Linked DNA regions of Alligator mississippiensis. The protein of the gene in region 2 purifies or fractionates together with the protein of the main gene of each other region. This does not show direct contact. Links are inferred from orthologs where the notes say so. Each region holds a gene or a part of one and is shown on either strand. Other genes may lie near its edges.

Region 1 (7,620 bases), on a different chromosome or scaffold from region 2:
GACAAAAAACATAGAATGACGACAAGCCTCTACCCCAGATAGGGGCAGGGTTTTGGGGTGAAAGCCTGCCGTTGGACAAGTATCAGGAACACAGGGCCTCTCGTCCATCTAGCAACATTGAGTTGTCCTCAACATCAAGAGGACAGTATCAGGATTCAAAATTACCTTTTACATGTATGAAAAATGGGTTGAAATAATCAGATGAAATTCAATAAAGACATGCGCAAAGATCACAAACTAAACATGAGTGCATTACTACAAAAAAAATGTTAATAGCATACCAGGAGGTATTAAAAGTGGTGATGAATACATCTGAATAGTCTTCAACTAAACACACAGAGGTGTAAGAGAGCAAATAAATACCTGGGGCAGCCTCAATACATGTTCTGATCATGGGGGTGCAGTCAGTCATTGCTGCAGTGGCAGCTATTTTTTGTGCATCCCCCTCACAAAGGTTGTACTCAGTGCTGCTGTAAAACTGCAAAAAAGGTTGTTAAAAAGATGGTAATCAATTCTTCTCTATGTCTATGGGGAACAGAAAGAGAAGTATTGAGTTTAAATAGCAACAAAGATTTAAGTTAGGAAGAACTATGCTATAAAGTTGGTTAGTGTGAAGAGATGAGAGAAAACTCTTCTGAGCTTGCAGCTGGAGGAAACTTACTGATCTGTCCACAGCTGACAACAGCGAGGGACCAGCAGCTGTCTTGGGAGCCCCACTTTATCATCAGCTGCTCCATCAGGATAGGCCTTGCCTGCAGCGGGGCTAGTACTTCTGGCCTTCTGTCAGGGCTGGAAAGAGAACGGGATGGATGCCAGATGAGAGCAGAGCCCTGGGATTGCCAAGATGCTGGTGAAGAAACTCTGGGCAGCAGAAAACAGGTGGAATTTCCCCTTGGGAGCCTGGAGAGGCCCTGATAATTTAAATGCCACCACAGAGCCTGCAATGGCGGGGAGCAGGAGGGAGCACCGGCGAGAAGCATAGCTAGATTAATGCACGGGCCAGTTGAGCACGAGCCCAGGGGCCCCTACCAATTAGGGCCCCGGGATCCTCATCAGCAGGGAAGTGAAAGCCGCAGTTTTAAACTCTGCGCCTATCTTTGGAGCCAAGTTTAAAACTGTGGCTTTCACATTTCTTCCCTGGGATCTGGAAGTGGGGCCCCTGTGACAATGGGGCTGTGGGGAGGGTCCGGTAGGGCTGGGGTTGGGCTGAGAGCGCCGTGCCGCGCCTGCGGGAGGGGTGGGTTAAGTGGCACCATGTCGAGGAGAGAGGGGGCCGAGACAGGCTGGGAGAGTTGTGCCCCACCTAGCGAGGGGGGTGGTTGGGGCTGGGCCGGGCTAGAAGTGCTGCACTGCACCTCTGTGGGCGGTAGTGCTGGGAAGACCTTGGTGGCTATAGCCCCACAAAATTCATCTTGGCCCCCCCACAGCCACCCCTCCCAGTGCCACCGCCTGCCTGCAGAGGCATGGCGTGGCGCTCCTGGCCTAGCCCAGTGGGCCCTCTGCATCTGCGGGGCTGCACAGGACATCCCAGCAGCAGCTCCCTGCAGGTCTGTGTAACCTGGGCTGGGCGGGGAGGGAGACTGAGCTGCAGGCAGCTTGTGGCAGGGGAGGGAAGGGTGGTGGAGGGGAGGGGAGGGGAGGGGGGACAGAGGGCTGCCTCCATGTGATCAGGAGTGAGGGGAAAGTGTGTGTGTGTGTGTGTGTGTGTGTGTCTGTCTGTCTATGTGTGTGTGTGTGTCCATGTGCAGAGAGGGCAGAGTGCACATGCCTGTGTGTGTCTGTGTACACCTGTGTGTGCACATTTGGCTGTAGTGGGGGCAGGAAGAAGAGGCGAGCATGTGCCCTCCAGCTTGGCAGGGTCCACCTAGCCTCTCCCACCAGCACTAGGAGAGGAAGGGGCCCCTCCCCCCTGCAACCCAGCTCCCATGGTGGGAAGGGGCCTCCAATTTTGTGATTGTTCAGGGCGCCAGTATACCTTAATTTGCCTCTGGCAAGGAGACATACCAAGAGAATTGGCAATCATGGGAGCTGGCAAGGCTCCAGGTCTTCTTGGTTCAGTTACTTTTACTTTCATTTACACTGCCACGGAGTCTGGGAGGCTGGGCTGCCACCACCTGAAAGAGGCGAAGAGAAAGGCAGTGCTGGCCCTGTGCCAGAAGCACATGGGTAAGTGAACCGACTCCAACACTCACAAGGAGCTGAGTCTATAAGGGTGGGTGGGCTGGCCTGTTGCGCCTGGGGAGCTGGCAGGTGCTGCTGAAGCCTTGATGACAGATGGTGAAGCATCCAAGGCTGAGAAATGCCTAAGATGTAGATGAAAAGGATCAGGGAGACTGACATATTTCTTTTTGTGTTCCTTTTATTTGTGAGGGCTGGGCACCTAGGAATGAACTGCAGCCCTAAGGACCGAATTACCTCATGGTTAGTGGCCTCCAGCCACAATGACCCTAGGGGCTGAGACTTACCTGAGTTCTGTTTCCCTGTTTTGTGTTGTCCTTCATTTCTCTTCTGTGTATCAAGCTGTGACCAAATGATTTGAAGGCTGGCTCAGCTGCAGTCCCCTTAAGCCAGGCTTGGGACAAATGCAGGCACACAGGAGCAAAGAATGGAAGAAGATAGCTCACTGAGAGCACAACATACACTGTAACAATGGGGTGGTGCTTGGAGTGGGTATAAGGGAGGTAGAAACCCCAAGGAAGAAACAGAACCAGCATATCTAGGACTTCATGCAGCAAAAATAGAGCACCTCCTGACAAAGGCATATTCAACACTAAGATGTGGCAGGTAAGAATTGGGTGACCTCCGCTGAGTGCTAGAAGTGGGTGAGTCTGTGTCCTCATGGCCCAGTCTCACAGGATGCAAGGGGCTGCAGCCTTACTTACACTGTGCTGACAATAGGCACCAGAACCAATTATCTAAAAAGGCTGAGTAATCTCTCTGTCATTGCAGGTTTTTACGGCTACAAGCAGATGTCACATTTGTCTTGGAAGAAAACATATTCCCCCAGGACCAAGTGTTCAAATTGTACTTGTCCCCCAGGACCAAGTACAATTGTCTTTGTCAGTTGTCATGGGACAACACCCCAGAAAAGATTTGTGGAATAAGTATTGTTTGTTCCAAAATATCATGACAGATGTCTGAACAGTTGTCCCAGGACATCATCCTGGGACAAGCTGGCCAGCTGGTCCTCCAAGCATCCTACAACATGGTGGTTCAGCTTAGTTCCCAACCCTCTTGAACGTGAAGCCACTATTGCCCTGATTACAGAACTCTGCTGCCCAGAGGTGACAGATGAGGGTGGCAACCTGGGGTCTATTAATGGGTCTGCATGGAGATATACCAGTGGTTTCATCCTTGCATCCACCCAAGATCAGCACTGAAGCCTACATCCACTCAACCAACAGCAAACTGTCTTCTCACCAGGGATCTCCAGCCACCTAACTATCCAGCACCAAGGAGGTCACTGGATCTAGCTACCACCCAGGGGCAAGTGCATCCTGTACAACCACATGCCCTTCAGCTTGCCTCCACTGTGCCCCAGCATGAAAGAGCAGGGTAGCAGCTAGCTGCAACTGGGAGAAGACAGAGGCTCTCAGAGCCATCTGGGGGCCTCGGGTCAGGCTGTGGATTGGATGCCACCAGGGGATAAACCAAAGTTCCCAGAAGGAACCTATTTAATAAGAAGACCCCAGGGTGGGTAATGCTAGTGCTTCTCTGTTTAGTGCCTTGATGCGTTGCATAGTTTCCCTCACAGCAAGCCTGGCTCCTTGACCCAGAGGCTTGTGTTCCCAGGATACAAAGATGCCCTAGGGCTGATGACCAGGGGTGGGAGGGGTGGTGCTGAGCGCACTGCAGGGGCTGTACTGGGCAACACTAGTGGCAATGTGTAGGAGGTGCATGAGGGTGCATGTGTACCCCCTGAGCATGGCGGTGCACCCCCTGCCAAAAGGGCCGCTGACAGTGCCTGCGGGCGGTTGCCGGTCATCACCCCCCTCCCCCCTTGCTTTTGTCTGCCGGCGGTCCCTGATCACCGCTGGCTGCTGCTGACACTGTTGGTGGCATCTGTGGGTGGTTGCCAACTGGCAGTTGGCACTTGCTACTCCCCCACCTATGCTGTGGCTGCCTGTGGGAGCTCCCTGCTTGTCGCTGCCACGCTCCTGCCACCTGCAGGAGCTCACCACACCCTCCCCAGCCTCTGGGGGCATGTGGCACTCATGGGTAGTGCCCAACAGTGTTGCCAGGTCTTAACTGTGAAATGATTGTATTGAAAGCTAAAAACTATCATATTTGCTGAAAAACTATCATACATTGAAAAATATGCAAATAAGGCTTCTTCTTATTTACTTTATATTACTCTCTGTAAGTGCCAGCAAGTGGGTGAAACTGGGTCATTAAAGTTGAAGCATTTCTTTATTTTGAGACAAGCAATAATAAGAAAGTGCTGATAAACCCAGAAGTCAGTTAAAGCTCCCTGAGAGTGACTTAGGTTTTGCATACGCTGTACCAATTAGCTGCCTCAAAAATTATCGTACATTTTGGACACTTTTACAATTGCTCATCCTACGTTCTACGAGGTTGAAGTTCTCGAACAAATGGTCTCACCTCCATACGCCCGCCCCGCCCGCAGGCTCCGGCGCCTCCCTTCACCTCGCGATCACCCTGCGGTCCCGCCCCCGAGACCCGCCTCGCTCGCTAGCCCGCGGGGAGCCGGGAGGCCGCAGCCGTGGCGGCCATTTTGTTGCGTTGCTTGGCCGGTGGCGCGGGCGTGTGTCCGGGTGCCCTTGTCTCTGCAGTTTGTCCCGTGCAGATTCCTCGGGAAGGAGCCGGCAGCACCCAGGCCTCGTCAAGCCCCTTTCCGGGGCCGCCTGCGGGCGGGGGAGGCAGGCCGAGCCCAATCCCGACCCGCACGCACCGCCCCCACAAAGTGGGGAGGGGAGGACTGGACCGGGCCGGGCGCCGTTCGTGGCCTCCCTGACTGCGGCGGCGGCCCGTGCGCGGGGCCGGGTCGCTCGGAGCTGCCGCGCGGACAGGTGAGTCTGTACGGCCCGAGCGCAGGCGGCGGCGAGACTGGGGCCCGGCCTCGCCGGACGCCCCCGCAGAGCCCGCGCTGCTGCGGCTCCTTCACATGGCCCCTGCGAGCGCGGGAGGCGGCGCGGCCGCGCTGCGGCTGGGAGCTCCCGCTGCCCTGTTGCTGCCGGGGCCGCTCCCTGCCTCCCGAGCCCGGCGGCTGCCGAGCAGCAGCGAGGGGCGAGAGCGGCGCGGCGGGTCCGACTGCGGCGACGCAGGAGCCGTAGCGGCTAGTGGCACAAAGACTTTTCCCCCTCTTCTGGGGTGACGTCAGCGGGAAGGGGTGTTTTGGGGGCAAAATGGAGCCTGTTTGGAAAGTTTGTAAACCGGCCTGTGCTTTTGCAGTTAAGTGCAGAGGAGGAGGGCGGCAAAAGCAAGCTAAGACACGCCCCGCGTTTCCGCTGAGCAGGATTTTTATGAGAACGGGTCTTCTAGTGGCAAAATCCCGAACTGGTGCCTTCCCCTGGCTCATTTAACTTTCCTTACACTGCCTTTGTCAAAGAACCTAGCTATGCATCGCAGCAGCTACCTGTGGCCCCTTGGCAGAGTGGACCAGTACACCAAGTTCTAGTTTCTAGAACAGTGGGTTTCAACCTTTTTTTTCATTTGCAGACCCCTTTGAATTTTAAGTGTGGGTATTTTTGATTCATCATAATCATCTTTTGCAGGCCCCTTAGACATAGATTGCAGACTCCTAGGGGTCTGGAAACCACAGGTTGAAAACTGCTGTTCTAGAAGGCTTGAATAAATTAAATTGCAACCAAAAACGAGTTGGATTACAGAACAAAAAGGGCATTCAGGAAAATTTAATCTGCTCAAGCAAGGCATCCTAATTAGTAATGTAGGTAGGCTAGTTAAGAATTGAAGCAGATTGGCAGTAGTGTCTGATACAAGGTATCTCTGAACCAAGAGTTCTAGAGAGGTTTGTTTTTTGTGGGTTTTTTTGGAAAAAAAATATTTAGAAAGCAGTATGCATCTTTTAATTTAGCTTTGAATAATTAACTTCTCACTTTGGAAAACCATGGAAAAATTCCTCTGCCCTTGATTTATTCTGATTCCAGATTTTTAAAGAAACTTTAACTAAAATTATAACACGTTTTTCAAGCACACTTCCATTATTGGTAGAGTGGATAAATTAAATCAAGATGGATTGTAATTTACATTTTTGAAACATCCATGTGATATGGAATTTTAGGTAGTGTGTGATATTGTGCAGTACACCAAAAAATTGCAGCTCTATTTGAAGCTAAGTATTTTGTCATTTTACTTAATTGAAACTTACCAAGTTTGAAGTTAGACTTAATGGCTGCTTTCAGACATGTCTGAACAACAACAATCCCTCCCCCCCCAATGCTTTACTGGAAGCAGTAGCGCATTATTACGACCTGGCCGCTGCAGGATCTGTATAGATAAGGCGCTTTAGCAGGGCTTTGTCGCTTTTATCTAAAGCTGATTCAATTGGCTATTAGGTAGAAGCCGCAACAAGTCACAGTAAAGCGCCCAATCTATAGATGCTGCAGAGCTGGGTTGAATTAATGCGAGGCCTCTTCTAGGCATGTGCTGGGCTCAGTGCAGGAGTGCACTAAGTTTAAAGTGTGTGTCTTGGGGTTTTTTTTGCTTTTTTTTCTATATCTGCAAGCAGCCAGTGTTCTTTTCCTGTTACTTGTCTGTTAGTGTTTTTTTCTCAATGGAAATGAGACTGTTTACCTTAATCATTTTGAGAGTAAATTATTCCAGGTTGTAAATCTTCATTTGTGAATAAGTATGGATTCATTATTACACACGTGTCTGAATGCAGGCAGTAACTGTGATAATAGAAGTCTTGCGCTATACCAAATGCCCATTTTTCTTTGTCCTGATCAGGTTCTCTGTGTTCTTTCCCTGAAAACACTTCTTACTCTAGTTCTCTCAGTTCCTTGTTGATCTCTTAAATATTTGTATTTGACATAAATGAGAACTTGTTAGATTTCTTGAACTTGTGATTCCCAGGAATAAAGTAGTAATTTTGAATACAAAACAAGATGACATGGACTATATAGTTTGGAATACACAAACTTTATGGATTGCCATTAGATCTGTAGGCTTCATTCTATAAAATGAGGGTTCATAGCTGTCTGCTTGGTGGAAGTGTGTGGGGAAGCAAGCATATTGCAGGGGCGATGATGAGTCTTCAGTCTTACCTCCAGTTATTCACGGTCTTTGTAAGGGGGTGGTACACACCTTTCTGGGCCAAACGTGCTTCTCCAGCAAAATATATGATCTGTATTTCAAGTCACCAACACAATTTATTACGTAAGTACTAGTAGCAAATGAGTGAAAATACTAGTTTTAGGATGCTATCTTCCTTTGAGGGGAAGGTGGTGGGGGGGGGAGGAAGTGGCCCGCCCACACCCAGTGCCCTGCGTGGTAGCTGCTTGCAGCCTGTGTGGGGCTGCCTGTGCTTGCTCCGAACAGCCCCATGCATGCTGCAAGCAGCTGCAGCGTGAGGTACTGGCTGTGGGGCCGGGGGAGGGGCTGCCCCCCCCCCCCTGCACTCAGCTTTTCCCTGGGCTC
Region 2 (6,990 bases):
GCCCAGAGAGAGAGTTAAGACGTAACCAGCTCTGGGGTGGAGCAGGAGGGACAGGTTACAGCCACATATAACAGTGCCCAAGGAAGTGTTGAGATGCGACCAGCTCTGGGGGGAGCAGGAGGGAGGGGTTACAGCCACACGCAACACTGCCCAAAGGACTGAGATGCGACCAGCTCTGGGGGAGAGCAGAGGAACCAGCCACACAAAACACCGGCCCACAACTGGGCTCGCACTGCACATGACGCACCCCACCCCCACTGCCTTGTGACCCTCCGACTTTCCCCCTGCAGCTCACAGCACGGAGGGCGGAGCTTCTTGAGGAAGAGGTGGGACTGCCCAGAAAGGAGGCGGAGCTACCTGGGAGGACCAGCCCAATGGAGCCAGGTGAAGCCCCCAGCACCCCAGATCCCCAAGTCGGGGGGGGAGAAGAGGACGTCTCCAGAGCCGCCCGAGCAGGTGAGCCCAGCTCCCAACGCCCCCGGGGCAGCCCGGGCATCTTGGGGGGCAGGTCTGGTAGCCTACCCCCGTCACTGAGGGCAAATTGCAGCCCCAACCCACTCCCTGGGGGTGGGTGCTGCTGGCTACCAGACCCAGCTCGTGGTGGGGGTGTCGGCACCCCAGGAGGGACCGGAGGGAAGGAAACATCCTTCTTCCTTCTAAGAAGGGAGGTATTGGCGGCAGCCCAGAGAACCGGGAGAAGGGGCGGATATTTCCCAGCCCCCCAAGCAGCCCAGGCATGACCAGACCCCCAAGTCGAGCGGAGGGGCAAGGGACGGGTCCGTACCCGGTCTGGGCACCACAACCCAGAGCCGGAGGAGAGGCCTATCCCGCTCCTGGCCACCAGCACCTGATCTGCTGAGGCCGCTGGCTCCGTGTTGAGCAAAGAGCAGGTGGGAGAGCACAAGGGCGCTAGGCAAGGCTGGGCGGCGGGGCCGAGAGAGCCCCTCATCCTTCCTTCATCCACCCCCTTCTCTCCTCCCAGGTGCCCATGCAGCCGAGGACGCCCCCGTGCCACCTGTGAGACGCCGGCGGCGCCGGGCCGAAGGTGGCCTCATCAACCTCCTGGGCCTCCTGGAGCCCCAGCCCCGGGTGCGGGCCCGGCCCTACCGCTGCACCGACTGCGGCCGGGGCTTCAGCCAGAGCTCCAACCTGCTGGAGCACCAGCGGGTGCACTCAGGGGAGCGCCCCTTCACCTGCGGGGAGTGCGCCAAGAGCTTCGCCCGTGGGTCCACGCTGGCTGAGCATGTCCGCACGCACACCGGGGAGAAACCCTACCCCTGCCCGGACTGCGGGCGCCGCTTCGCCCGTGGCTCCACGCTGGCCGAGCACCGCCGGACCCACACGGGTGAGACCCCGTTCGCCTGCCGCGACTGCGGGCGCTGCTTCAGCCGCACCTCCAACCTGGCCAAGCACCAGCGCACGCACACGGGGGAGAAGCCCTACCCCTGCCCCGAGTGCGGGAAGCGCTTTGGCCTGCGCTCCAACCTGCTCAAGCACCTCCGCACGCACTCTGGGGAAAAGCCCTTCGCCTGCGGGCTCTGCGCCCGGCGCTTCAAGAAGAAGACCCACCTGGTGTCCCACGGGCGCACGCACACGGGCGAGCGGCCTTACGCCTGCGGGGACTGCGGGAAGAGCTTCGCCCAGAGCTCCACCCTCCTGGAGCACCAGCGCACCCACACCGGGGAGAAGCCGTACCCCTGCCCAGACTGCGGGAAGCGCTTCGGGGTCAGTTCCAACCTGGTGAAACACCGGCGGGTGCACACGGGGGAGAAGCCCTACGGCTGCAGCGCCTGTGGGCAGCGCTTCCGCTACAAGACCCAGTTCGCCCGGCACCAGAAGCTGCACCATGGGGGCAGCCAGGAGGAGGAGGAAGAGGAGGAGCCCATGGCTGTGCTGGCCGTGGGGCCCTGGGCCACTGCCAACCCGCTCGTGCCCATCCCGGAGACGGCTTGAAAAAATATTGCCCCCCAAAAACGCAGCAGGAGGGATTTGGGAATGCGCGTTGTAGCTGGGAAATATTGTAAGGGGCGTCACCTAGCCAGGGCAGCATGGGTGTACATTATAGGTGACGAATACAATAAGAGTGTGTCGTTCCCCCCCCCAAAACATAGCTGGTGGAAATTAGGAATGTGCTTTTTTGGTGAGAAATTGAGAAATACGGTAAGAACCTAGCCCAGAGGCAGCAAGGGTGCATGTTATAGGCAAAAAAATACGGTAAGAGCAGTTTTCCTGCTCCGGAGCAAGGGTGCATGTTATACGCAGGAAATACAGCAAAAGCAGTTTCCCATTTTGGGAGCAAGGGTGCACATCATACACAAGAAATACGGTAAGAGCAGTTTCTGCTGTTTATTGGGAGAAACCAATGGGTCATTTTGTATTTGAGAGACTATGGTATTCTCCTCCCCTTCCCTGCCAGATCCAACCCGTGTGGTCCAGCATCCCTGCTGCCCCAGGGCTAGGGAACTGCTCTTACCATATTTCTCACCTATAACGCGCACGCCCAATTTCCACACGTCCTTTCTCAGAGGGAAACACGTGAGACAAGGAGCCCCTCACATCTCCCCCGTGTCTAGCTCTGGGTCTTTATGGGTGGCCGTAGACTAGGAGCCACGGCCCCAAGCTTCAGCAGGGGAAACTGAGGCTGGAGAGGTGGAGGAAACTGCCGGCCGTGAGGTGGTCGAGTATTGAAGGAGGCACGTAGAGAGGCTGGAGACGCTGGAGCGGGATGCTTTCACCCGGGAGAACCTCGCCCTCGGGAAGAGCCTCGGTGACCTCACGGGAAGCCCGACTTTCCCATGATCCTTCAGGAGTTGCGGCGTCTCCATCCCCGGAGATTCGCAAGAGCCAGGTCGGTTGTGTCCTGGGCTGTCCCGCCTGGCACCTGTCACATCCCTCCCAGCTCGATCGTCCCATGATCCTCTGCTGCAGAACTGCATGCTGGGAGCTGAGAAGGGCTTCCCTCCGCACTGGACTCTCTGTTGGCCTCTTCCTCTCTGGGAGGTTCCTATTGGACCAGAGGAAGCTTGAGGTTGTTCCTATTGGATCAGGGGGACCTTCAAGACTGGGGGGGGGGGGTTTGAGTCCAGGCTGCGGGAGTTGCCGTTCCCGCCCCCCATCGTGGGAGGCCGCGTGTGACCCGCCAGACTCGATCCCCTTTCGTTTCAGCCAGGGCCGAGGGCACCGTAGCCCCGGCACTAACGGCACCCCGACGCCGGCCTGCTAGCCCTGGGTTACCCCAGAGGGGACCAACAGGGCGGCCGAGAGCAAGGAAGGGGGGCGGGGCATCTTTTCAGTACCGTATAGACTCGTGTACCACGCCCCCCGAAAATTAGCGATGGAAAGCAGCCTGAAACCGAATCGGATTGGATTTGATTAAACAGATCTCTCTCGCTCTTCTTTTTCTGTCTTCCTTCCGGCTTTCCAAAGCAGGTCTTATGTTGGGGGGGGGGTTATAGCTGGAGAAGTACAGTAGCCGGCGGCAAATGAATCCGATTGGATTTGATTCAACACGCACACGTGCACGTGCTCGCCCCCTCCCGCCTTTCCAAAGCAGGTGTTATTTTTGGCGGGGTGTTATAGCTGGGGAAATACGGTAGTTGGTGGAGTTTGGGAGCCCCGTGTGTCGCGCACGGGAAGTTACGGTAGGGCCCGTCCATTGGGGGGGCGGGGGGTGTCTAGGGCCTGATGGGGGCGGGTACCGTATCGCTGGGTACCGTATTGTCTGGAGTACGACGCGCAACTGGGGTAGAAGCACGCCGCTGCTTCCTGGGGGCAAAAGGGAGGGGTCGAGGCCGCGGTGCACACTGGGACACTGCTGGACACACACACACACACACACACACACACACACACACACACACACACACACACACACACACACCCCCTCACGTGACGCCCTCCCTCTCGCACGCTCCGTGACGTTACCACGCGCCCCCAGAACGCGAAAGGGGGGCGGTGCCCCTGCCGGCGCGTCACTTCCGGCGCGACGGGCCATGGAGGCGGCGGCGGGTCTGGGTGCGGGCCCGGCGGAGGCGGCGGAGCGGGACGGGCCGGGGTCGGGGTCGGGGCCCGAGGGGCCGGGGGCGGCAGCAGCGCCGCCCCCGGCCCCGCCGCCCGGCCCGCGCGAGGCGGAAGTGACGGTGGAGATCGGCGAGACCTACCTGTGCCGGCGCGCCGACGGGGCCTGGCGTGAGTGTGACGTAGGACACCCCGCAGTGACGTCAGGGGCTGCCCCCGTGACGTAGCCCCGCCCCCCCTGACGCGCGCCCGTTGCTTGCAGACTCGGCCGAGGTGATCCAGTCCCGCATCAACGAGCAGGAGTCGCGGGAGGAGTACTACGTGCACTATGTCGGCTGTGAGTGCGGGCGGGGCGGGGCGGGGCGGGGCGGGGCCCAGGCTCCCTGCGCCCCCCCCGCCCTTCTCACCCGCCCCGCCCCGCCCCGCCCCGCCCCGCAGTCAACCGGCGCCTGGACGAGTGGGTGGACAAGAACCGGCTGGCCCTCACCAAGACGGTCAAGGACGCGGTGCAGAAGAACACGGAGCAGTACATGAGCGAGCTGGCCGAGCAGCCCGAGCGCAAGATCACCCGCAACCAGAAGCGCAAGCACGATGAGATCAACCACGTCCAGAAGGTGGGGGCGGGCGGGCGGGCGGGGGCATAGGTCACAGCGTGCGTTGTGTACGAGGAAATACGGTAGCTCCCGTTGCCCTGCAGGGGGCGCGTGCGAGATGGAGCATGCGTGTCCTACGCGGGGAGATACGGTCGCTCCGCGTTGCTTTCCAGGGGTGCGGGAGAGATGAAGCGCGCCTGTTCTGTGTCAGGAAATACAACCGCTCTGTTTTCCTTCGGGGGACGGCATGTTCTCCTTGAGAAAATACGGCAGCTCCCCTTTCCCCGAGTGAAGGGAGGGGGAAGGTGCACGTTGCATACGAGAAAATGTGGCTTGCAGGCGGGGGGCAAAAGGGCACGGTGCATAGGAAAGATACGGTAGCTCCCAGCCTGAGAGCTGGAAGGCGTGTCTTCTACGTGAGACAATACGGTAGCTGTTTTTGCTGGGGTGGTTTTTGCCCTGCAGTGGGTGTCTGGGAAGTGGGAAGTGATGTGTGCTACACGGGAAAACACGGTAGCTTGCTTTTGCCCTGCAGGGCCTGTGTGAGAGTTGGGAGGCACATCTACACAAGAAAATACGGTAGCTTTCTTTTGCCCTGTAGAGAGGTGGAAAGTGACCTATGCTATAGGAGACAATAGGGTAGCATCCTTTTGCTGGCAGGTGCTGGGCAAAAGGGGCGTGGTCTACATGAGACAATACAGTAGTCATTTTTTTTTTTGCCCCGTAGGGGGTGCTCTGGGGGTAGGGGGGCGGAGCCTGATGCTGTCTCTGCCCCCCCCCCCCCCTTCTGCCTCTCCCCACAGACCTACGCAGAGATGGACCCCACCACGGCCGCCCTGGAGAAGGAGCACGAGGCGGTGAGAGGCTCTGAGGGGGCTGTGGGTCAGGGGCGAGGGGTACCACCGCGGGGACAGTGGCAGCGGGCCGGGAGGGAGGGGCACCGCTGACCCCGCCCCCCCCCAGATCACCAAGGTGAAGTACGTGGACAAGATCCACATCGGGCACTACGAGATCGACGCCTGGTACTTCTCGCCCTTCCCAGAGGATTATGGGAAGCAGCCGAAGCTCTGGATCTGCGAGTACTGCCTCAAGTACATGAAGTTCGAGAAGACCTACCGCTTCCACCTGGTGAGGGGCGGGGTTTGGGGCAGGGGGCGGGGCAGGAGTGAGGGGCACCGGCCTGACCCCGGCCCTTGACTCTGGCAGGGGCAGTGCCAGTGGCGCCAGCCCCCGGGGCGGGAGATCTACCGCAAGAGCAACATCTCCGTGTACGAGGTCGACGGGAAAGACCACAAGGTCAGTGCGGGGGAGGGCACCCGGATGCCAGGCTTCTGTGGGATGGGGGGGAGGGAGCAGGGGGAGCTGGGAGCCCCTCAAGCAGTGCCCCCCACATCCCACCAGTCAGCAGCTCCTTTCATCCCACTGCTCCCACCAGTTCTCTGGGCAGGGGCAGGGGCAGGGGCGGGGGAGTGGGGGGCTGAGAGCCTGGATTCTCCCATCCCGACACTTCCCCCCCAGATCTACTGCCAGAACCTGTGCCTATTGGCCAAGCTCTTCCTGGACCATAAGACCCTCTACTTCGACGTGGAGCCCTTCGTCTTCTACATCCTCACCGAGGTTGACCGCCAGGGTGCCCACATTGTCGGCTACTTCTCCAAGGTGCTGGCTGGCCCCCCAGACGCCTGGGTTCCCTCGGGGTGGGGGGCTGGCACAAGCCTGGACACCTCCCCCACAGCCCGCCCGATATCCCTCCCCACTGCTGCCACCAGTGAGCGGCTCCTCTCATCGCACTGCTACAAGGGGAGTTGGAGCTTGGGGGTGAGAGCAGGAGGACGGAGCCCAGCTGCCTGGGTGCTGTTGGGAGGTGACGAGAGTAGGGACCCAGATGCCTGGGTTCTGTCACACTCTTCCTGCCCCATCTCCCCCCCAGGAGAAAGAGTCTCCGGACGGCAACAACGTGGCCTGCATCCTCACTCTGCCCCCCTACCAGCGACGGGGCTACGGGAAATTCCTCATTGCCTTCAGTGAGTCTCCTTCCCCAGCATCACAGGGCCAGGTTGGTCCAGAGGAAGCAGGGCCCTGAGCCCCTCTCCGCGTCTTCTTACCCCCTTGCAGGCTACGAGCTGTCCAAGCTGGAGAGTACGGTGGGGTCGCCAGAGAAACCGCTCTCAGACCTGGGCAAGCTGAGCTACCGCAGCTACTGGTCCTGGGTGCTCCTGGAGATCCTGCGGGACTTCCGGGGCACCCTGTCCATCAAGGACCTCAGGTGAACGGGCGTGGGCTCCCAGCTGGGGGGCCACCTCAGCCCCTTCCTGCTGCGCATTGGCTCGTCTCCCATCCAGGGGCTGAGCTTGGCCCCTTCCTGCTTAGTCTTCAGGGT
Region 3 (7,469 bases), on a different chromosome or scaffold from region 2:
TTATTAGACCAGCGCAGATAATTGGAAAAATTATTTGTATCAATCTTCAAGTTTTAAGTTTAAGCAAGGTTTAAATACCCTTCATCAGGCTGAGGAAGCATCTGCAGTTGGTGTGTGCTCTTTCTGGATGGAATGAATAGTAAAGAAGCCAGAGCCTGGTATGCATGCAAGAAATGCAGTCAGTGAAGATGTAAATAGAGGAGTCAGTGGGTGAGAGAGAGGCTGGTGGCGAGAGGGAGAGAGGGATGCATGTAGCAGGTAAATAGTGGAGAGGTACCTGGGGAGTCAGATGTCAGGCAGGTTATAATGTGTCATAAATCCAGTGTCTATATTTAGTCCATGATTTTTTGTATCCAGGAGGTTGATCAAGTGAAGTGAAGTTCATCTGTGAAAAGTGTTTTGTAAATTCCCTTTGAGGATTAGAACTGAGAGATTGGAAAGAGAGTGGTTTTCATGTGAGAAATTTGCCCCCCACCAGTAATTGGGTATTTTTGGTTCCATCTAGGTTTCCAGTGTGCGTTCATTCTGGTGTGCAGTTGTTGTTTGGTCTCTCCTACGTATTTTCCATCAGAGCGTTTGGTGCATTGGATGAGATATATTACATTTTTGGATGTGCAGCTGTAAGATCTGGGACTGCTGGTGGCTCTGTTGTGGAGTGTAGTAAGTGTGGGGGTGGTGGAGGTGTGTTGGTAGGATTTACATTTCTTGTCATGGCATGGTCTGGATCCATTTGGTGTGGTTTGTGCCCTAGGAAGTTTGCGTTTCGTGATGAAGTTAGTGAGGTTCGGTGCTTGTTTGAAGGCTAGGATGGGTAGTTCTGGGAAGATCTCTTAAGAACAGGGTCTCCTTCTAGTATGGGTTACAATTGTTTGAAGATTTTCCATATAGGTTCGAGGGAGGGGTGATACGTCATAAGCAGTGGTGTGTGATTCGTGGGGGGTTTTCTTCTGTATTGCAGCAATTCTTCACATGGTATCTGGATAGCTGCAGCACCCAGTGGCCACAAGCTGGCTATAGGTGGGCCTGGGTGCTGCCAGGCCTGTTAGATGCCTGCAGCACCCTATGCAGCTGGATGGCATGGCCCTGGCAGCCATGCAGTGATGCAGTGCCAGGGAATAGCATTGGGGTTCAGGCAGCCTGTCCTGGGGAATGCAGTGGCCACGGGCTGCCAGGAAATGCCCCTGAGCCCCAGCATCCCTGCAGCCCCAGCGTCCCTGCAGTCCCTGGGGCTGGGACAGGCATAGAGCTGGCCCAGCCCTGGGGTAGGAGAGGCTCCCAGCCTCAGGGCCCTGGGGCTAGCCTGAGGCTGCCCCCCTTATGGTGGGGCTGACTGGGAGTAAATTTGCTCCTGGTCAGCATCTACATGTGCGCTATTGCGCAGTAACTAATTGAGAATAAATTTGCTACTTGTATTTGCAGGTAGCAAATTTGCTTGTGATTAGAGCAGTTTACTGTGCAGTAAGCATCTGTACATGTAGACACGGATGCTTAATGTGCAGTAATTTGCTCAACTGCACAGCAAAGCATCTTGTGTAGATGCACCCAGTGTTGACAATATAAGCCTTAGGCCTTATATATAAGCCTAAGGCCTTAGCCTTAGGCCTTATATATGTCTTAAGACATATACTCTAAGGAAGAGAATAGAACAGTGATTCACAAACAGGGGCCCACAGATATTAAGGGTGTTGTGCCTTATTGAAAACTGTTAGGTGTGCAAATACATGAGTCACAAGATAAACCCAGAGATTTGAAATGGGTATCCATAGTATCAGGGAGATTCTGACCTGTTATTTTCTTTCTGAGATTTTTAGAACAGAAGACTTGCTCTATTATTTTTTAGTAGTCAAAACGTTAACCTAAGAACCAGCATTTTGTGAGGGGTAATATAAAAAGATGGATAACCACTGGCTAAAATTTCCTGACAATAGGATTCGAATGAGTACTGTGAACGCACCATTTTCTTAGAGTGGCCATGACCAAAACCAGAGGATTAAATATGGAACTACAGAATTTTTCAGCTTCTCATCCTTCCTTGTAGAAAGAAGCAGTTACCCATGCTAGTCTGAAGTTTGACAGGAGGTAGGGCAGGATAGCATAACAGACTAACAACCCAACACAGCTACCTACCTCTCTAATGTGCCACCCTGCCCTTTATCCTTGTGTGTCCTCTCCTTGGCTTAGCTCTGCTTTCCATCTTCATTTGTGAAACAGAACGGTTGGAACAGCAACCACAATTTTAAAGGGAAAAAATAATCACTTTTCAAAGGGAAAAGAATAGTTTCAGTTGAATGCAAGGAAATATATATAGAGGGCTTTGGCAATGTGTCTTGAAAGGGGTAGGTATTTATCTCAGTATCAGTCAGGATGGTACCTGTGAACTGTGCTGTCTCAGGCTGTGACAGCCAGGTGCATCTGGACACTGGTAACAGCAAAGACAAGGAAAAGATCCTGATGATCGTCATGACCATTCTCTTTGAGAACCAGTGGCAGGTTTTTAATGGTATCTGGTATCATTTGATGGTCAAGGGATATCTGTGTCAAACACATCACGGGTTATTGCTAATACGAATGAGGGGATGGATTGAAACTCCCTCACACACACCAAAGTCACAAAGACAGTTAATGTCATTAAATATTACCCATCCCAGCAATTATATACCACATTAAAAACATTGTTTGAAAGTGTTTTACAGTCTGACAACTGTGCACATGTGGTAACCATGCACGGGGTCCTGTTTCTCTTCTCTCCATAGTGTTGCATTGCAACTTCTTAACCCCTTTACCCAGAGCTAACATAGGTTGCATAACTAACTGCGTGGCTTAGCCTGTGCTAACATATGCCAGCCACATATTCATGTGGCTACTATGTGCAGAATCCTCCAACTCTGCAAAGCCATAATTTGAACATTCTGCAGAGACGCTAGGTATTATTATATTACCTGCTCTTCTGTTATCATTATATTGTCACTGTGTGCCTACTGGGGCTGCTGTTATTTTGTCTTTTTTCTTTCCACTTTCTTCTCTCTTCTTCCTCTCTGTCCTTCATTGGTAGCATTTCTCTTCATTCCCCTTGTCTCACCCCTTCCTAGCTCTTCCTCCTCTACCACTATCTCACCTATATTTATCTTCTCTTGTCCTACTTAGGTACAAAATTATACTTTTGTCCCTCTAGTATATACTCTGCTACTATCTGCCTTCCACTTCTGCAGCGGGACAGAGGAGAAACAGCTAAAATATTAGTCTAACAGCTACCTATAGTGGCAGCAAACCTGTCTATAGGCCTGCCACTTGTAGCCCTGCCTGCTTCTATCTGGCTGTTTCCTGCAGCAGTGGCTGCTCACATCAGAGTATTGTACAGGTGGTGGCTGGTTTCATAAAATCACAGAAAGCTAGGGCTGGAAGGGACCTCAGGAGGTCATCTAGTCCAGCCCCCTGCTCCAAGAAGGACCAGCCCCAACTAGATCATCCCAGCCAAGGCTTTGTCTAGCCAGGCCTTAAAAGCCTCCAAGGACAGAGAGTCCTAACAATGGAAAACAATCCTTGATAAGCATTTGCACTGCCCTGACCATGGGTGACTGGTGCCTCCCGAGTCTGGGGGGGCACCAGTGGGGCACGACGGGGCGGGTAGCCAATTTCTGGGGGGCACTAGCACTCTCTGTGCCCCCTACCAGCCGGAGCGCTTGCTGTTGGGGGGGTGGGGGGGGTGCCCCCTCTACGTGTTGCCTGTGGCCCTGACTAACTGCCATTTGCCCTGACTAACTGCCGTTACTAACTGCCCCGGCTGCCCTGGTAGTTCCTTTGGGTGGCGGGGCTTTGGGGCAATGACCAATACACTTTGTGCCAAAGGAGGACAACACAGCTTTCTGCTTGTTGGGAAAGCAACAGGGACCGGCCCTGGATGGCCAGGGCCACCTGCCCTGCTGACACGGCTCTCCTTCCCCATGGCGCCCAGCTCGGAGCCGCCTGGTGCTGCCCGCGGGGAGCTGCCCCCATCTCCCTTCCTTGGTCGGGCCTAGGTGGGGCGTGATGGACTGTGTCGTTGCTCAGAAAGCCTCTGAGCTCCGGAGGTGTCCGTGTCCCCGGCGGAGGCCTGCGGCCCTCAGGCGGGGCAGTCTGGGCACCCCCGAGCAGAAGCAGGGGCACGAGGCTCCCCTGCCGCCGGGGGCATCTCCCCTCCCCGCCGCACGCAGCCCGCGGGACGCGGACACTGAGGCAGGGGCAGGGGCCGGGCCCTGCCCCCCTACCCCCTTCACACATCTCGGGGAAGCACAAGCGGAGGCAGGGACCAGCGAGGCGCCCGCATCAATCACCGCCTTGCCCCGCCCCCGGCTCTGACTGACACCCCCTCCTCCAACCCCGGCGGCCCATGCCCTGCCCGCAGCCAATGAGCGCGGAGGAGGGCGGAAGATCCCCGCTTCAAGGCTGGTTGAGCGGTGCAGGTAGGTGCGGGATGTGGAGTCGTCGCTGGGGCTGGTGCGGTCGGGAGGAAAACGGGGCAGCGCCCGGGCCGGGCGACAGGGCTGGGCTGGGGCCGCGGGTGGGCGGGCTAGGCCGGGTCGGGCTGGTGGTGGGGTGAGGCTCGCAGGGCACCCGCCGCCTGCTCCTGCCTCTGCCCCAGCCCCAGCCAGCAGCAGGCCAAGTAGCGCCCGCCGCCCGCTCCGGCAACTTTGCACGAGGAGGCGGCCGGGCTGGGGCTGGGGCTGGGGCCGGGGCCGGGCAGGGCCCGAACTTTATTTGCTCGCGGTCTGAGCCCGGTCCTGCCGCCGAGCGTCGGGTCCGGTTCGCTCCGCGCGGGCAGCGGCTGCTGGGAGCGAATTGAGCAGGCCGAGGCCGGGGGGAGGGGACAGGGGTTTGCTTCCAGCACAGCCAGAAAGTGAGTTGGGTCGGAGGAAAAGGCAGGGCGAGGGAGACCGGGAAGTTTGAAGCCCGACGTGACATGGGAGTAGGAAGGGGAGAGCCGCGGCCAGAGGAAGAGCTGTTTTGTTGCATTCGCAACAATGGGGATGGAGAAGGGAGCAGGCCAAGTGCTGGGAGCAGGGATGGGGCAGAGGGGATCCGGCACAGAGGGCTCCTCTCTGCACCAGGCCTGTGCCAAGAAACCACAGGATTGCCTCCCTGCAGATCAGGCTTTTAAAAAGTGTCTGCCTTAACGTGCTGGATTTGAAAAGGGTTTTGAGTGCTTGGCACACAGTTCCCTTGTAACTTCCCAACTGCAGTGAACCTGAATGGGGCATTTGAGTTTTTGGGGCTTTTCAGCCCTTGTGGTTTTGAATCAGGCTTTACATTTTGATGGCTTGTAAAACAAGGGGAAAAAAATTCCCCACAACAGCTAAACAATTTTCAGAAGCAAAAGAAGTTAAGAGCTGGCATTGCTGGAGCAATAGCAGCATAGGACTAAGGGCTTCATACACTACATTTGAGGAAATGAGGTAGAAAAGATGTCTGTTGTCCCTTCTTGTTTTGGCATCCCCATTTTACCCAAACATAATTAAACAAAACTATCAAATTCCAAGCTTCCAGATGAATGCTTTGCATTTAGCTTGTCTAACTTGGTCCCGATTATAGTTGGTCAAATTAAAAAAAAATATAACTAGAAAAAAGCTTTGCCAGCTATGATATCATTCTAAAACTTCCAGGAAGCACTCCAGAAAGTTGGGTTTTTTTTGGTTGTTTTAACACCTCTTTTTCCCCCCTCCTCCCCCCCAACACGTGCACACACCTTCCCCTCTTGCTCCTCACTAAAGTCTTTATCATGGTAAAAACATTTTACTTTCAAAAGTCAGATTATTAAATATGATAGGAAATTAAGTGGTTCAGGTAATACAGAGGGAAATTCAACAAATGTGGTTTTTATGAGTCTGAGGAAGTTAGGCACTCAAATCTTGATCTCCTTCACATTCTTTTGGATCCTCTACTTAAATTGTTGATCTATACCCTGTACAGATTTTTTTTTTTGTATTTTTCAATTGCTTTGGCTTAAAAGGTACTGGAATGTGTCAGTGCTCAATTTGCTGTGATTTATTGTAGAGCTCACTTGTGTACTATATTCCATATTTGTGGCAAGACATATTTTTAATCATATCCTCAAAATCTTTTTTTTTCTTGAGGCAAGTTGAATATTGTCATGTATGTTTTGTTTGTAAGCTATATTTATTTCCTCTGTCTTAATATATTCTTGTTCTAGATACCAAGTTTCCACTTCTTAAAATAAGCTAATAGTGCATGGTTGCACCTGGAAGAATTAAACTCCCTTGCTCCTCCATCCTGAGCCTTTTCTGAACCGCTGTAGACATGGATTCTTCCAAGATGGTCTGCAAGGTAGGACCTCTCATTCTTTCAAAGTTGTAGTGGCATATTTTTCTTAAAGATCTATTAAACATTCAGAACTATCTGAACTGTGAAAATCATCATGGTATTTACAGGCTCTGTTCAGGAATCAGATTGTTATTTATGTCCAGACGAAACTTAAGAAGTGGGTTCCCTTTGTAATTTCTTTATGGCAGATAATCCTAAAATAGAGATTTGGGAATGTGTCTAGAAATGTTGGGTTCTTTACAGTGTTTTTGAATTTTTTTTAACACATGCAGCTGCTTTTGTATGTGTGTGCTTGATGTTCAGCCTAATTTTCCTGGTCTTGTACCTGGAATTCCTGGTACACTGATTTGACACACCCAAAATTTTATAACTACCATAAAAATGGTCTCTTTCCCTGTTTTATACACTTTTCAAATGCTTGTATATGCCTACCGTGTTCTTTGTTGACATATTTGCTTTGAAGAAGTAGAGCATTATATACAGGCATCCCGCATCTTACGTGCATTTAACTTGCGCAAATTCAACTATACGTGGGTGGGGAGTGGGGCTTGAGTCTGCAAGTGGCGCTGCCGCTTACCTGGAGGCCCAGCCACCACCACGTTGCCAGCGGTGACTGCCTCTGCCTCCAAAACCTCCCGCCGCCGCCATGGAGCCGTGCCCAGAGCTGTGTGGCCAGCTGCCAGGTGCGGTGGTGGCCAGGTGGCACACAGCCATCCCCACCACCACCACCCTGTGCTGCACTGCTGCCGCCAGCCGCACAACTATAGGCGCGACTCTGCAGTGGTGGCGGGAGGTGTTGGAGGCAGAGGCAGTCGCCGCTGGCATGGTAATATGTGATTTCACCATACGCGATTTTCGCCTTTACGCGCTGCCTTTAGAACGTAACCCCCGCGTAAGATGTGGGATGCCTGTAAATAGCACTAATGATGTAAGGTCTACAGCTGTCTTTTGCCAATATATTTGCATTTAATTAAAACCTAAGATGAAATCATAAAAAGGTTAAGGACCCTAAAATAGGAAAGAACCAAAATCTTGCCCTTGGCTGGATTTCTTTCTTTTCTCCATTGTTTTGACATCCAGTTCTCTTTTCCTCCCCATCTAAGCTAGACAGGCCAAATTTAATTCTACTGAAGTCTGGGTCATACATAGGACTG
Region 4 (7,635 bases), on a different chromosome or scaffold from region 2:
CCACAATTCTATAACATTAATTTAATTTAAAAGGAGCTTCAAAACATCATGTTGGGTTTGAATTTAATAAACTTGCCAATTGAATTGTTTGAACAGTTTTCTTTTAAGAAAAAATACCCAAACAATATCCATTTTTCATTTTGTCAGAAGGAAGCTCTACTTCGTGCTTTCAAATGCTGTTTCACTCTTTAGACTTCAGATGACTCTCCTTTGTTGATTTTTCTCAACTTGTTAGATTCTCATAAATTCTTCTCTGCCAAAAAACCTTATCATATAAACCTACAAGTTTCACTAATCTTTCTCAAGTATTACCACTATAATATACAATGCTTATTTTAGATCCATATGTCTTTAGATCTGACTTGACTCAAAAAAGACACCTTGGTTAAAGTTTTGAGAGGAGCTCATTATCTCAATTATATAGTTGAACGCTCCCAAGAATTTGATGTGGCAGCACTAATAAAATGCTAGCTTAAAGCTATGCGGCCCAGGTTGTTTCCTAGGTAAGATGAAACATGGCTTTAGATATTTATGCAGACATTTATATTTCCTTAAAAAGCACCAACACTTAAGTATTCTTTTTCTATAGATACGGTGACTTAGGAATAAGATTGCTACCTCTTTTTAACTTGAATGCTTAGCCAAAACCTTGGTTTTATGAGTTACCCCAAAAAGGAAGACACTGTAATGATAAGATCAGGTGTTTCCCTGATGTAAGCCTGTTTACTTACAAAGAACAAAGTCCCGTTCCCCTCTAGTGGCAACCAAAAAAGAGATGATATTGTTGGTCAAAGCTCCAAGCCCTTTTTTCTAGGCAGCTCAAAAGCTCCCACTGACTTCCTCATTGCAATGTTTGATGTTTGCCCTAATCGCATTCTTGGGATGGAGACTGGCATTTGTTAGCATTGTGGTTGAATAAAAAAGTATTACTGTGGTCTTTGTTGCATATTACACTTAGGACAGGTTTTGTCTAGATTGCTGTAAGCGTTACTGAGAGTCATAAAGTTCTCCGAGCATGCGTATCGTAACCTTTACCATCATCTAACTGAAACCTGTCTTAAGAGCCGGAGCTGTTGAAGACTTCAGTATGGTGCTGGAGCTGGGATTGATAAATAGCTGTTTGTCAGTCCCAGCCCCGCAACTGCACCCAAGTTTCCTCATTATATTACCTCTGTGGAACAGTCAGGTGTTAGCTCAACACCTATTAGGTAATATTATCTGGAGCTACTTGTCACTGGAAAAGTCCTAATGTTGCTATGCTATGGTGGCCCCTAGCACCTGTTTTATTGCTTGAATGCTCAATAGATGCTAATGTTTTAAGTGCAGTTAACACATCCTGGAATGCAAAACTCTAGAACTCTTGGTTCACAGATGATACTTTTTATTAGACCAACAAATAAATTGGGGAAAAAAAAATCTTTTTCTGGAAGCTTTCAGGTACATGTGCCCTTCCTTAGACTCAAGGAAAATTAAAGATGGTAGAAAGTCCCTATAGGTAGAAAATAAACTTCATTTTTGCACAGAGGAAGCTAAAGGTGGAAGTTTGTTCCTCTGGCTCCATGAGAGTGTCTTTGTGATTTGCTCTTTGATATGCAGATAAGGCAGGATTCCTTCCTTGGTGGTGTCAGGTGGCAGAAAGGCAAGGAGGCATAGAAATCTTTCTGGTTGTTCAGCAATGAAGTTTTAGCCAATTTTGGATTTAAATTCAGCATCTTCCATGTTTCAGGGATGTATGTGGTAGCAAAGGAGTCCCTCAGAAGTTTTGAATCCAAGATGCCACAGTAGGGAAATAATATGGTCTATTCTAGCAAACTTTCTTCCATACAAACTTTTGTGGCAATTGTTTACATATTTCACCACTTCCATGAGTATTTTTACTTTTTTTTTTTTAGTGGCCAGTGGCTCTCCCCTGCCTCCCACCACCAGGCTCAGCTCCGTGGTGGTGGCGGCGGAGTCACTCAGAGCGCAGGCAGCGGGAGGAGACAGAGAGCCAGGGCTTCCTTCTGAGTGGCTCTGCCAGCCCCACGGAGCTCAGCCGGCGGCAGGAAACGGAGTGCAGCCCTGGCTCTCCCCTGCCTCCTGCCACTGGGCTGAGCTCCACGGGGCTGGCGGAGCCGGTTGGGGTAGAGCCCTGGCTCCTCCCCCCCCCTCCACCCCCCATCTCCTGCCACTGGGCTGTGCCCTGGGCAGCATTGCCAGTCCCACAGAGCTCAGCACCGTGGTGGGAGTCAGGGGAGAGTCAGGGTTACACTCCAACTCATAACTGGAAGCTTCAACTCATAACTACTACCACAGAGGAAGGAAGGAGTAGATACAAGCACTCAGAAAATGTACATGCCTAGTTCAGAGCTCTACAAACTAAAGCTCAAGTGCAGTGTAGCCACACACAACACTGGAAGCAACACACAACACTGGAAGCAAATGCATGTGTCCAGCAAATTAGCCATCCCAACACCTTAAGTCCTCCTGGGAGTCACTGCTTTGCCAGATATAATACTTTATAGACCTGGTCTGCAATATAGATGTGGATGATGCCCTGAATTTAGGCCTTGTGTGCTTTAGTAAAATTGAAGACACTTTTGTGTAAATAGCATATGCCTGCCTGAAGTTCCCCCTTACCATATCTAGTGTGCAATATACAGGTTTCCCTCGCTTTATGTTGTACACGCATTTCTGGAAAATAGCACATAACTTGAATTTGCATAAAGGAAACCCACTTTACAATATAACAAATAGGGATACGTTCCAAGACCTTGACTGTACTGACCCCCAGACCCATTTCTACCACTTTTACAAGACAATTTTGGCACTCACCAACAGCAGACAGCACACACAAGCACAGGGTGGTGGTGAAAGTTACCATAATGGGGATGGCAACTAAAGAAACACGTGTCGCAAACAAGCGAGGAACACAGATCCACAAAGAAGACTATATTTTGATGCGTGTCACTCCCACAATGCACTGCATAAAGCAGCTGACTGTGGGCTTCCAGCACACCAATCGAAGAGTGAATTTACCTCGCATATAATGAATTTTTGGTATAAAAAGGGGCATTGCATAAGAATGGATTTACCTATACAGAACCCGCATAAAGCGAGGGAAACTTGCAGTAGGTGTATTTTAGTTGTGCTCAAAATACAGAGCCAGATTGGGACAAGGGGGCAGCATCCCGATCCAGGGAGTAAGGAATCCAAACGTGCCTCCGCCTTGCTTCCTTGCATCCGATGTCCTACTAGCAATGTGAAGTCAGCTACACATACCCATTGGGTCCTGACTTTCCACAAGAGACGGAGACTCAATTTCATCTCTCTCAGCATCCCAGGCTGTACCATTGCAGCAGCATGCCGAGGACACACGCTGTGGGACACGTATAGACCAGGCACCGTTCATTTATTCCTTGGAAAGATGCAAGCAGCAGGAGAGGTACGAGCTGCCTGACTTTTATGGTGTGTCGGGGGCAGTGCAATAGTGATGTTGCTTATTAAGGTTGGATTGGAAACTGTCTAGCTCATGGGTGCCAATGATACGAACACTGTTAATTAATACAGCCACCTCTCCCAAGCCCCCTGTGGAGGACTGGAACCAGGCCAAATCCCCCCCCCCCAGTGTCAGTGAATTAGGTCTGGGCTGCTCGCACACTGTTCTCCACACAGGACCTGGCTGAAGCCAGGCCAAGTCCCTTTCCATTCGGTGGCTGGATCAGGGACTGCCCGCTCCCCAGGAGGCCAGATGGGGACCACCAGCCAGATCCAGCGAGCATGCCTATCCGGCCTGTTGAACGCTCTTGGTGCGGCCCAACTTCACGAAGGATTTCAGAAGCGGGAGCGGGTGTCTAAGCATCCTGACTTTCTTCTGCCGTTCCCAAAGACGGGGAGCACAGACGCCTTCGCGCCTCTTCTCCTGGCTCCAGCACCAGACTGCGAGCTCCGCCACGAGTCCGCCTCTTCTGACTCTTGTGGGTGGCGCAGATGCCAACCCTAAACAAACAGAGAAACCAACACCGCCTTTATCAAACATCCTCCCCCGGCGCTGCCTCCACACCAGCATCCCCGCCCCGCCACGTCCCCGCACACGAGCAGCAGAGCCACCCGCCGTCTCCGGTCGAATCTATGGCGGGACGCCACGCCGCGACGCTGCGACCGACTCAAGGTCGGGAAGGCGACGGCTGCGTCGTACTAACGCACGGGCCAAACGCATCCACCCGATCCCACGTTGAATTTGGGCAACAAATTAAATTTCTTTGAATATATTAAACACATGAATTAAAATTCACAGGAATTATTTTGACATTCACGTTAAGGATAATGATCCCACACTTAATTTTACAAACACCTGCTCTGTTATTGCCCCATGGGGTGGGGGGTTCTCCCTCGTTCCCGGAAAATGGGCAGCCGGGAAGAGGGAGGTCAAGGAAGAGGCTCCTGAAACCCCCCACGAGAACGCCTTCCCTCACAGCCCACTCCTTCCCCGCGCTCCGCCCCACATCAACTGCCGCCCCGCACCTCCCGCCCGCCTTTTATAGCCCACGTGACTCGCCTCCCGTAGCCCCACTCCCGCCCTCCTCCAGGCCGCTTCCCCCTCGTGGCCCCGCCCCGCGGCCGGCCCCTTCCTGCCCGCGGCCCCGCCCCCGCCGTAAAGCAGCGTCGCGCGGGGCGGCCGCGGTCACGTGACGCGGCGATGGCGGCCCCCGGCCCCGCCTCGCGGGGAGTCGCAGGGAGGTGACGGAGCGGCCGGCCGGCGGCGGGCGGGCGCGGGGCGCGGGTGGGGGGCGATGGGGCGCTGCTGAGGGAGGCCGCCCGGGCCCGACACCTCCGGCCGGGCCGGGCCGAGCCGGGGCCCGCGGGGCCGGGCCGGGCCGGGCCAGGCCGCGGCGGTGGTAAGGAGCCCGGCGGGACATACGCGTCCCCTCCGGCCCGGGGGTCGCGGCGGGGTCGGGGCACGTTTCCCAGACCGGGCCCCGGCGCATTCAGGGGTCCCCCCTCGCCCTGCCCCCGCGCCCCATGTCCTTCCCTCATGCCCAGCAAGAGCCGGAGAGGCCCCTCCATGAAGGGGTCTTCTCACGTGCCCCCCAAACAGGCCCAGAGCCCCCCGCGGTCTGGGCGTCTGCCCGCCGGTTTGGGGGCTGCCCCGACCCATCGGCACTGGTTGAAGGGGTTCCCCTCCTGTTGCTGAGAGCAGCCCTTTCAGGGCCCGTGTTTCTCGGCGGTCGAGATTCGAGCTCGCCGGCATGGGTCGGCTTCGTTTGTTCGTTCCCTCCGCGCGTGGACCGACCCCTTTCGCTCTTCCCCCGTAAAGCCCCTCTCGACGTGACGGCGAGGAAAACGTTGTAAGAGGACGAAGCGGTCGAGGGAGCTGGGGGTTGGTTAAGTGTAGTCCCAACACTTGGGTTTACTGCTTTGAAAATTAGGTGTTCTTTGAGTTGAGGATTTCTCCGCTTTTTGGGGGAGCGGTTAAAGTGCATTTCCGTGGGGTTGGGGTTTTTTTTGTTACGTCGTCCTGTCTATCGAAGGTTTCCGTTTCAGCGCGCTGCCGGGATTCACCAACGGCTGTAAATCTCCGATAGGTTTATATCTCTTCATAGACATCGTGCAGGGTGCTTGCTTAGGATGCCGCGTGCGATTTAAGCAGTGTTTCCTTCTTTGTAATATCCCACTATTCTTCTCTAAAGGTAGGAAAAAAAAGGAGAAGAGGATAGACATTACGAAGATGAGTAAAAAACCTCCCAATCGTCCTGGGATCACCTTCGAGATTGGTGCTCGGTTGGAGGCATTGGACTACTTGCAGAAATGGTATGGAAGAAATTATAATGTTTGCTTAGGTCAGATGATTTGACATCACCTGTAACCTGTCTGTAGCCAAAGCTTTTTGTTTTTAGTAAAAGCTTAAGGTATCATCGTCAATCATTGGTCCACGTATTAGTTTTGATGAATGTGGTTATTTAAGAGCAATCAGCTAAGATAGAGAGATTGGCAAAACTTTCTTTCCAAAATCCAAATGAAAGAAAATATTAAGCGTGTTTGGTTTTTCTTGCGTTTCTTGTCTGCAATCACTTACGCCATATGTTGGCTCTGCTTTCTGCTGCTGGCCACAGCTGTTTTGTGGAGTCAGCAAACCTGGGACTTCAGGCCATGGTAGTTTTGCTAGGCTAAGTCAATGCTTGTTAGTTCCTTTTGCTGTGGATCCCCATGAGTGTCAATGCTAACTTGGTATTTGCCTATACCCTGCCTGAGTTTTCTACGTGTGAAGGTATCTAGGAAATTTAGTAGTTAAAGGAAAACTTAGAGTATTTAGGCATGTAGTGTTGTGTGAAAGATAATTAAATACATTGATGTGATGAAGTCCAGTGAGTCTACAAGGATTTAGCTTATTTTTATTTTAAGTCATAAAAAGATTTTACAAATAGTAAGACTGAAAACATGACAAAAGTCTTCCATAATAATACTTCCGTGCCTTCCCAGTAACTGTTTGAAAACTAGTCTATTGCCATAGCTTGTTAAGCAGGTGAGTACAATAGCATCTGCATTTAATGGCTGGAGAAAGTGAGACATCAAAGATGCAACTTGGGCAAGGTCACACACCAAGTTTTGGGAGAGTTGGAAGACTTACTATTTAGTCCTGTGTTAAGCCATCTATTTACTTGGAGAGAAAATGGAAAATCAAAAGAGAAACCTCAGGCTTAATCAGAATTTGGCTAATAAGGAACTTGTTCATTTCTTGTTAATGTAGGGATGTATTGCCATGATTTGAAAGAGAATGTATTGCTGTGGTAGACTGAACTAACAGTATGTCTAGTCCAGTGTAGAAACTTCTTGATTTCCATCAGTTAGTCACTAGTTGCTGCCATGGAGCAGAAGAGTCTGGCTTCTGTATACGTTTTCCTCCTTTTTCCATGTCACTGGGTGGTGTAATTTGCATTAATACTTAATTGTGTTGACTGTGACAGAGCTACATGTCAGTCAGTTTAATGTGTTAGCTGTAGGGATACTCTGTAGGGACAGAAGGGTTAAATTAGGGGTGCACTGATAAAGATTTTTTGGGCCGATACTGATGGCCGATTATTAACCACCCATATCGGCTGATACCAATGCAATTGTTGATATGCAGTCTGGCAGCTTGGCATCCAGCTGGTAAGTCTGTTGAGGGGAAGTGGTGTCGGGGGTTGGGGGCAGGGGCAGGTGCTGCACAGCTGGGGGTAGGGGTACTGCTGTGTGTACCCTGGGGGAAGTATGGGGGGCATATGCCCCCTGGAGCTGTGGGGGTTGGGCCAGGGCTGTGCTCAAGTGGATTGCAGTGGGCGACAGCACTACAGTGGGGGTGGGGGTTATAGCCACCTTAATTTGCTGTAGCTGGTCCGTAGACCCTCCTCCCTCCCAGCACCACTGCCTCCACCTGCTCCGCACCCACCTGCAGCATCCCCACCGGGAAGAGTCCAGCACAATCCTTGGCCCCGAACCTGCAGCCTGCCCTCAGCCCACGCACAGATCTGGGGGCATGTGCCCCTCATACCTCACCCAGGGGTGCATGCAGCGGTAGGTGCTGCCTCTCCCACTCCCTCTAGATGAGCTGCCCACGGCTCCATCCTGTGCCCTGCCCTGGCTGGGCAGCACCTGCCCCAGCCCTACTCCCTCCCTCAC

What was found.
Region 1: the proteins of KAT8 (region 2) and PHF20 purify together in Homo sapiens (affinity purification with mass spectrometry; 3 studies listed by BioGRID and IntAct, counting the BioPlex papers as one, with this or other methods). This does not show direct contact. The link is inferred for Alligator mississippiensis from reciprocal best matches to the Homo sapiens genes KAT8 and PHF20.
Region 3: the proteins of KAT8 (region 2) and KANSL1 purify together in Homo sapiens (affinity purification with western blotting; 4 studies listed by BioGRID and IntAct, with this or other methods). This does not show direct contact. The link is inferred for Alligator mississippiensis from reciprocal best matches to the Homo sapiens genes KAT8 and KANSL1.
Region 4: the proteins of KAT8 (region 2) and PHF20L1 purify together in Homo sapiens (affinity purification with mass spectrometry; 3 studies listed by BioGRID and IntAct, with this or other methods). This does not show direct contact. The link is inferred for Alligator mississippiensis from reciprocal best matches to the Homo sapiens genes KAT8 and PHF20L1.

What each region holds. Positions count from the first base shown.
Region 1 is NC_081832.1:36,719,431-36,727,050, reverse strand, and holds the start of PHF20 (PHD finger protein 20), read left to right. Parts: upstream 1-4,619; 5' UTR 4,620-5,030; intron 5,031-7,620. UniProt on the Homo sapiens protein: Methyllysine-binding protein, component of the MOF histone acetyltransferase protein complex.
Region 2 is NC_081830.1:855,195-862,184, reverse strand, and holds the start of KAT8 (histone acetyltransferase KAT8), read left to right. Parts: upstream 1-3,977; 5' UTR 3,978-3,992; coding exon 3,993-4,188; intron 4,189-4,279; coding exon 4,280-4,354; intron 4,355-4,455; coding exon 4,456-4,631; intron 4,632-5,413; coding exon 5,414-5,467; intron 5,468-5,573; coding exon 5,574-5,738; intron 5,739-5,816; coding exon 5,817-5,906; intron 5,907-6,128; coding exon 6,129-6,269; intron 6,270-6,540; coding exon 6,541-6,634; intron 6,635-6,725; coding exon 6,726-6,876; intron 6,877-6,990. Other genes in the region: zinc finger protein OZF, read left to right, coding at 291-456, 983-1,953.
Region 3 is NC_081827.1:158,971,407-158,978,875, forward strand, and holds the start of KANSL1 (KAT8 regulatory NSL complex subunit 1), read left to right. Parts: upstream 1-4,457; 5' UTR 4,458-4,473; intron 4,474-4,584; exon of another isoform or gene 4,585-6,184; 5' UTR 6,185-6,318; intron 6,319-7,469. UniProt on the Homo sapiens protein: Non-catalytic component of the NSL histone acetyltransferase complex, a multiprotein complex that mediates histone H4 acetylation at 'Lys-5'- and 'Lys-8' (H4K5ac and H4K8ac) at transcription start sites and promotes transcription initiation.
Region 4 is NC_081826.1:14,352,510-14,360,144, reverse strand, and holds the start of PHF20L1 (PHD finger protein 20-like protein 1), read left to right. Parts: upstream 1-4,631; 5' UTR 4,632-4,678; coding exon 4,679-4,719; intron 4,720-4,777; exon of another isoform or gene 4,778-4,877; intron 4,878-5,669; exon of another isoform or gene 5,670-5,673; coding exon 5,674-5,790; intron 5,791-7,635.